Linked DNA regions of Arabidopsis thaliana. The protein of the gene in region 2 interacts with the protein of the main gene of each other region in a pairwise test. Each region holds a gene or a part of one and is shown on either strand. Other genes may lie near its edges.

Region 1 (4,324 bases), about 12 Mb from region 2:
AATTTTGGGGGGGCGACACCATAAAATAAAGAGAAAAAGCAGAGTCCAGAATCCGTTGCCTTGCCCGCATCTGCAACTGGAAAACACAAAAACAGACGCCACGATGGATGAATGATTTCGCAAATCGTCGAGATTTTGGAATTCGATGAAGAGCGTATCAACCTGGGCTTTGTCTTTCTTCTCCGACGAACTTTCTCGGCGAGCTGTTTCCGATTGTTATTTATGGACCACCGCGATTTCGCTTCTCTTAATCCTTCTCCTTCATATCTTCTTTTCCACTAAATTTCGCTTCTTCACTTCTGCTCCTTCTTCTTCTTCTTCTTCTTCTTCTTCTTCCTCTCCCTCTACAGAATCAGTTCCCGCGAACTCTCAATCAAGGTAAAAAGGTTTCTCAATCAAATGTTTAATTACTCACTTTGGCTAATGAAAAAAACTAATCCTTTTTTGCTTAAAGTGCGTTTGATTTTTGAAATGTTTAAACTTTGAAGGATTCTACTTGAGTGGAATTGTCTTTAGGCTTTATGTGGATTGGTTTCATTGAGCTACCAGATTCCTCTTATACATTTTTTTGCAGGATATCCAAACTAGTCTCTGATGAAGATTTGAAATTTCTGATCGAGAATTTGGAGGAGGAAACAAATGATTCCACGGAGATATGGGAACATGTTATTCACAAAAGCAACGATCGCATTTCATACTCTGCTAAACGCTGCAAACCCAAAGTAGTAACTTACTTTCAAAAGTGTCTTTTTAGTCTTTTATTATTCTGATTACTGAGTATCCTTTTGGCTCTATTATTAGGATGGCGGTGGTCCTATGAAGTACCTAAGTGTCACGGTCTTCGAGGGTTTCTCTGCAGAGATTGTGAGGGACTTTTACATGGACAATGATTATAGGAAACTATGGGATAAGACTGTGGTTGAGCATGAGCAGTTGCAGGTTGATAGTAATACTGGAATTGAGATTGGTCGCACCATTAAAAAGTTTCCCTTGTTGACATCGAGAGAGTACGTTCTAGCTTGGAGATTGTGGCAAGGAAAGGAGAAGAAGTTCTACTGTTTCACAAAGGTCAAATTCAACCAAAAAACCTCTCTCTCCCTCTATCTGTCGCAATTTGTTGTTGCTTCTTTACTTATCATTTTGCTCTTTGGTTACTATTAGGAATGTGATCACAATATGGTACCACAACAGAGGAAGTATGTACGTGTAAGTTACTTTAGATCTGGTTGGCGAATCAGGCAAGGCAAGTGGATTCACCTAAAAGTTCTAGTCAGTGTTGTTTGAATACCATATAACCAGATATTGATTGATCATGGTGAACACGGTCCTTAGTTTCTTTTTTCAGTTTCTGTTGTCAGCATTCTTTCTACCTTTGATACTTATCTGACTGATACCTTTGACACACTTGCTGCAGTTCCCGGTAGAAATGCGTGTGAGATCAAAATGTTTCACCAGGAGAATGCTGGGTTAAATGTTGAGATGGCCAAGCTCGCCTTCTCAAAAGGCATATGGAGTTACGTTTGTAAGATGGAAAACGCTCTTTGTAAATACATAGCAACCAGTCATAGAACCCAAGGACCCATTCTATCTGCTGTCACCTTAATGAAAGAGGTGAGATTCATATGAAAATTCTGTTCTGTAAAATGGTATTTAGTGTCCTGAAAATATGCTTAAAGCAACCGGTTGGGTTGGGTCTTCACTGACATTGATTGTTGTATCTTCAGGTTCCATCAGAGTTAGAAACTGGGACAGATAATGTCACAGGCTCCATGGAAACAAGTAGTGGTGAAGGAGTGTTGAGTCATGTTGTAGCCGCCAAACAGAAGAAAAAAATGAGAAAGCCATCAACGAAACTGATAGCAAAAGGTCTAGTACTTGTGGGCGGTGCGATCTGCTTGTCCCGTGGTCCCTCAGCCTTAGGTGCTAAAGTCGCATTGGCTTACCTCTTGACGAAGCTGAACAAACGTGGAACTTCTCTGAATCAGACCACCCAGACCACCACCATTTAAGTAAATTTCTCCTGAACTCTGGTAGCTTTTGGTATCAAATTGTTGTACCACAGTAGTACTACCACTAGCGTATACAAAATGCAAGTCGGTGTTGATATGAATGTAAAAGCATACATTATAAACATACAAGCCTAAAGGTTATCATTCTTGTAATTGTATGTACTATGTAAGGTCTTTATCCCAATCAATCTTTACTTGATTCTTGAGTCACTACAAATTGTTCGATTGTAGTTGATATTGGGACAGATGAACATTAGTGACATTAAAGTTGAGACTAAAGAGAAAGCTTATGAGGTCTACTTTTAGCCCTTCTTTTTGGAAGTTGTAGCAACTATAGCTCAACCCTAGATGCTAAGCGGCGAGTGAAGAGTCCAACACCACAATAAATAGAAGACCTTTACTATGATATTATCTCATTACAAAACTGAAACGTTTTTTTATCTTGACAACAAAAGGAAAAAAAATGAAAAGAATAACAAAACTTTTGGCCTCCCACTCTCTCAAAAGTTTGATGGCCAAGAAAAACAAGCGTTCCCAACAGAAGAACAAGTGTCTCAAACCGGAGAAAGATCCATCGACGGTGAAGAGATTGTTGGAAGATCCGCCGAGGAAGAAAAGATATCTACAACCATTGGAAAATCCACCGACGGAATCTTATGGCGACGACGAGAAAATGGAGACTGAGGAAGAAGGAGAAAAATATCTTGGTAAGAATCTTCCGGCTTCTGCTTTTATCATCGTTGCTGCTGAAAGGCATGACTCCGATTCATATTCTGAAACCGAGCTGGAGAAGAAGATTTGCGGTTCCGTTGTTGTAGCCAAGATGAATGATGATAAGATGGTGTCAACAGATACCAAAAAGAAGTATTTTCAAAGAATATTGAGTGATGATGATAAGATCGTCTTGTTGCAAGGCATGGTTGATTTCCAGAATGATAAAGGGACGATTTCTTATGATGATATGACTGGTTTTATTGATACGGTGAAGAACATCATTAGCTTTCAAGCGAATAGTCGTCAATTCACTACCAAAATCCGTCGTTTGAAAGACAAGTTTGTACAGAAAAGGAACAAAGGTGTAGATGAGAACTCTCTAGCAAATGTTGAAATATATGAAATCTGAATACTTGTGGCTAAAGACAAGATTTTTGATGAGGTCAACTCGATGATCACTGGAGCAAATTAAACAAGTCTGAATTTAGAATTGTAATGCATCCTTTTTCATTTTCATCCCTTATGACTCTGTTTTTTCTATTTGGTTCTTTTTTTTTTGGTTTTTGATATTTGGATTTTGTTGCTAAAAACATTATGAAAGAACGGCAGATTAGATTTTAATGCATACAATTGTGTTTAAATTGTGGTCAAGGTTTATGGTATAAATTTGGTAAAAATACTCTCATTTTGGTTAGGCTCAATGAGTCATTTTGTTGCCAAGTTTAAAGATTACATGGTTCTTTCAAGCTGATTTCAACACTCATCAATGTCTAAGAGCATTGGCCTCAAAATCCGCAGAGCCAAGAAGAAGAAAAAGAAAAATCATAAAAACAGAGACCGTAGAGTGGCAGCGAAGAAGAATAAGAACAAAGATGCACCTCATGAAACCGATGCAAGTACAATTGACAAAGCTGCAACTAGTAACTTCACAAACCGGACATTATTCTTTGTTGCTGCTTGAATTTGTTCTACTAATTTGTTGTTTCTCCTTATTTGCAAGGTACATCCGACATGCATGAACATGATGATGATGGAACTGGTGACTACTCAAACCAGCTTTAACTCAATTTTTGGCTCTGCCACCACAAACAAAGATATGTAAGTAAAGCTAAAGCTGGGACAAACTCCTATTATCGGAAAATGGGTAGAAAAACCCCCACCTTTCCTCCAAACATATTAAAAACTCTCAACTTTTTTTTTTTAAACTCTCACCTATTATTAATAAACTAAACTTAAATTCAAACAAATCATTATATTAAAAACAGCAATAAAATTTCTTTTAATTTCTGATTTATTTTTTCAATTCGATTTGCAATTTCTAAGATTAAGGTTTTTGCTATATAAAATTACATTTACCATTTAATTAAGATTAGAAAAATCAGTTTTGTTACCACTAGAAGTTATGTTATGTAAACTACAAAAATTTATAGGATAACACATTTAATATTTTGGTTTGTTCGAGTTTTTTTAGGTTTTGATTTAATATATATTAACTTTTCACCTTACACACAATGCCGTCAGATCCAGCATTATACCTCCAGCTACTGAGAAATTAATGGTCTTTCGGACATCACCCTCTTAACGACCAATACAGAGTAATC
Region 2 (4,426 bases):
TCTCGTTTCTCTTATTGTTCTCTCTAAAATCAGATTGGTGATGATTGTTGTTATAACAGCCCAATTAGTAGTAGGAGATCATCAGATGATAGCATGAAGCTTTTTACAACAGCATTGTTTGCTATAGCTTTTGGCATTGTTATTGGACTATCTTTTCCATCTTTATGGATCACTGAGGTTCTTCTTATTTCTCTTCAAATCTTTTACTTCTTAGATTTTATACTTCGTTTGTCGCATGCCATTTTTGTATTGTGTAGACAAGTCTCCCGAGAAACCTTCTTCGCTCCATTGCTATCTCACTTAGAGATTCCGGAATTGCAACTCCTCACAAAGCCATTGATATCTCAAAGGCATGTTTTATGTAGGAATCTACACATCTTTTTCATGTTTTAAGCACAAAAACCAAAGTTTAAGGCATGTTTTGGTGCAGATATGGGAACCATCAAATCCTCGAGGCGCTGAGAGATTACCATCCGGTATCATTGCATCCGAATCGGACTTGTACTTGCGCAGATTATGGGGGAACCCTGATGAGGTTTTTCCTCACTCTTTTGATATGACATCTTTCATATGTGATCAATGAACATTAGCTTCAATTTTATTTTCTCTGTTTCCTCAGGATTTAGTGAAACAACCGAGATATCTAGCAACATTTACAGTGGGTTATAATCAGAGACACAATATAGATGCGTGTGTTAGCAAGGTTGATTGATATAACACTTTTTGTTTTCTGTTTTTGCTTAATAGTAAACTCATTATGTTTTGTCTACTCAAATACAGTTTTCAGAGAACTTTACTATTGTTCTGTTTCATTATGATGGCGTAACAAGTGCATGGAATGATGAGTTTGAGTGGTCGAGGAATGCAATACACATAAGTGTCAAAAAGCAGACAAAATGGTATCAATATCTTTGCTTTAACCACTTTTTTTTATCTGGTTTCTTGACTCTCTCATATTGTGAACATAAGGTGGTATGCAAAGAGATTCTTGCACCCGGACATTGTAGCACGATACGATTATATATTCATATGGGATGAGGATCTTGGAGTTGATCACTTTAATGCAGAAGAGTGAGTTTCTCTTACTCTTCTCACTTCCATTTAAAAATTTCTAACTATGTTTGTTGTTGTAGATACATACACATAGTGAAGAAGCACGACCTTGAGATTTCGCAGCCTGGTTTGGACCCAGAGACTGGGTTTAATTGGCAGATCACCAAAAGAAGAGAACATAGTGAAGTCCACAAGTATATATAACGGCCTCTCTAGATTATTTTTGTTACATTACAAAATGGTTCTGAATATGGCTTGAACCTTAGCAGGGAGACAGATGAGAAACTCGACTGGTGCTCTAATCCTCCCCGGCCTCCATGTGCTGCGTATGTTTCAAAAAACGTCTCTATCAAACTCAAGTTTCAGACATATTTAAACCATTAGTAACTTCGTTATGTCTTTAATAAAAAAACAGATTCGTGGAGATAATGGCTCCTGTATTCTCAAGAGATGCATGGCGCTGCGTGTGGCATATGATCCAGGTTACACTTACTTTATTATCTATTGGCTCCTTCATATCTTCATATAATGTCTCCTTCTTGCACCTAATTGTATATGAACCAAAAACAGAATGATTTGGTTCACGGTTGGGGTCTTGACTTTGCACTGAGAAGATGTGTTGAGGTACACAAAAGTTCACTATGTTGTTGCTTAGTGTTTGTACAAATGTTCTTGCATGTTTGATCAATTAATGAAGAGGCTTTCATTTTTATATGTGAAAATGAAGGAGCCTGCATTTGAGAAGATAGGAATAGTAGACTCACAGTGGATCGTTCATCAATTTATCCCTTCCCTTGGCAACCAGGTTACTTAACTTCTTCACTTTCTCCTTTCCAAAACCAATTAAAATTTCTCATTCTTTCTCCTTTTCTTGCCAATAGGGGAAAGCAGATAACGGGAAAGCACCATGGCAAGGGGTAAGCAAAACTTGTTTTTGTCTCAATACAAATTTTCCTCTTGTTTTGGAGAGCTTTCATGTGTTCTCTTCCCTATAACAAAACCTAGGGCTATCTTAGATTTTCTAGATACCTTGACAAGAAAGCAACCAAATGGACCAATCTGTCTTAAACTTTTGTGTGTTGCAGGTGAGGGATAGATGTCAAATGGAATGGAAAATGTTCGAGAACAGAGTGGAAGCCGCGGAAAAGGATTATTTCAGATCGTTACAAGTTGAAAGCCCATCCAATTCAACAACTTCTCATTAGTACCTTACCAATACTAGTTGTAGCCAGGATATTTTAAGGTGCTATATAACATTTACATATAGATCTTATAGGTTATAGAGATACCAATCTCTTTGATCCGCACAACGATCAGATTCCATTGAATAATAGAAACAGGACTGTGAATGATTTTAATCACAAAAAGATTGTGAGGAGCTGAAACAGAACAGGTGTGTGAACTTTGACAAAGATTTGTCCAATTTTTCATGTGTCAGCATGTCTGGTCTAGTGACGTGGCATGCAACCGTGAAACGTTGAGTCTTCCACGTGTCGATCAAGAATCGACCTCGGGAGAACAAGGAGCTCTCCACAACGCACAACTTGGTTGGCTGATCACAATACGTGTCAGAAGTCTAACAACAAAACAGACCACAGAAAAAAAAAAAAAACAGAGTTTTTGTTTTATTTTAAATTTTCTGGTTATAAAAGACGAACCAACCTATTATTGAGTCACAATCAAATTGTGGGAGATGAGTCTCTAACGATAACCTCTCTCTTGGTGACACGTGTTTAGACCACCGCTGCTTAATAAACCCAATCGCCCACCGGAACATGAGTGGCGGCTATACTTCCTCTCTATTTCTTCTCTTCTAAGGATTTTTCGTGTCTCAAAACTTTCAAAGACTCTCAGTTTCTATCTCTGTGAATATAATCTTAGTTATAAAAAAATGGGTCTCTCGCATTTTCCAACAGCGTCAGAAGGAGTACTACCACTTCTGGTGATGAACACGGTTGTTTCAATCACTCTGTTGAAGAACATGGTGAGGTCTGTTTTTCAAATTGTTGCATCCGAGACTGAATCTTCCATGGAGATAGACGACGAGCCTGAAGATGATTTTGTTACTAGAAGAATCTCGATAACACAGTTCAAGTCTCTATGTGAGAACATAGAAGAGGAAGAAGAAGAGAAAGGTGTGGAGTGTTGTGTGTGCCTTTGTGGGTTTAAAGAGGAAGAGGAAGTGAGTGAGTTGGTTTCTTGCAAGCATTTCTTCCACAGAGCTTGTCTAGACAACTGGTTTGGTAATAACCACACCACATGCCCTCTTTGCAGGTCCATTCTCTAGTGGTGGAATCTTGTTTTACACTTTCCTTTTGTTTTGCTTTGCTATAGGAAAATACCACATTCTCTATCCTCTGTTTTACCCTTTTTGGTGTTTATGTTTTTCCCCTTCTTTTTTCTTGGTATGGAGAAGGGGTTTTTTCATAATAAAGGACTATACAATTGATGTGTGTGAATGTTTTCCCCATTTTTCTTGAGTTGAAAAAGGGGTTTGTTTTTCTTCTCTAATAATGGAAATGTCATATTTTCAACTCTTTAAGCTCTCTTTTATTTTAACATTTTAGAAAGAATTGTATTCTTATATCTTCCATTTTATCTCATGTATTCATGATTAGTGTGACAGTCTTGCATTTAAATGTGAAACTAAGACCATAACTTGTAGCATAATTAGTACAATTCCAATTCAAACCAGATTTTGCATGTTATCGGAAAAAACAATTATGTGGAACTAGAAGATCCAAGAGTTCATGAAATATACTAATTTGTAGTCTTTATTTCCATGCACCTTTCTAGACAAAGGAAACAGCACCCATTTTGTTACATAACAAAAATAAAAACCAGAAGAAGAAACACAAATCATACAATACAATCTATATATTATGGTTTGTCATTTATTACTTTTTATTCTTCGTCCACATAGACTAGGCGCTCTTAGTCATCCACTTACTGAACTTCGTATGCTCAAACTTGATGAATTGCTCAGCTTCTTTGTCAACATCCTCTGCTTTTGCAACCTCTCTAGTGCCCATATTCTCGCTCTTTGACCTCCTCATATCTGCATACTCGAAGCCCTGGATTGGTTCTTCGGCTGCAAAGACAGCTCGGAACTCCTTCATCGAGTCCCGGTGATGATGATTATGATGTTGATGGTGATGAGATTTGTGACTGGAGGAGTTTCCAAGTACCATTCTTAAACTAGCTCTTTCTTGTTTGGATCGGAGTGTTGTTTTATTAGGGATATTTTTGAAAACTATCGTAGGTATCTTTATATAATACTACATGTTATGAGGTTGTAGTCCACATGAAAGATGGGCGTGAATCTGATTCCCTGTTTTCTTTATGTCTTTTCCGAGCAAATATACTACTACTT

What was found. Proteins that work in one complex are often made in the same cells at the same time.
Region 1: the proteins of AT1G24580 (region 2) and AT1G55950 interact in a two-hybrid assay, tested with the Arabidopsis thaliana proteins (one large-scale study listed by BioGRID).

Annotation. Positions count from the first base shown.
Region 1 is NC_003070.9:20,925,647-20,929,970, reverse strand, and holds AT1G55950 (DNA-binding storekeeper protein-related transcriptional regulator), read left to right. Parts: upstream 1-2,425; 5' UTR 2,426-2,472; coding exon 2,473-3,132; 3' UTR 3,133-3,254; downstream 3,255-4,324. Other genes in the region: AT1G55960 (Polyketide cyclase/dehydrase and lipid transport superfamily protein), read left to right, coding at 146-378, 575-722, 802-1,068, 1,162-1,243, 1,415-1,611, 1,725-2,009.
Region 2 is NC_003070.9:8,707,234-8,711,659, forward strand, and holds AT1G24580 (RING/U-box superfamily protein), read left to right. Parts: upstream 1-2,707; 5' UTR 2,708-2,944; coding exon 2,945-3,340; 3' UTR 3,341-3,591; downstream 3,592-4,426. Other genes in the region: AT1G24570 (transmembrane protein, putative (DUF707)), read left to right, coding at 60-177, 258-350, 431-535, 620-703, 781-899, 970-1,071, 1,134-1,247, 1,323-1,379 and 5 more; AT1G24575 (DEAD-box ATP-dependent RNA helicase-like protein), read right to left, coding at 3,978-4,244.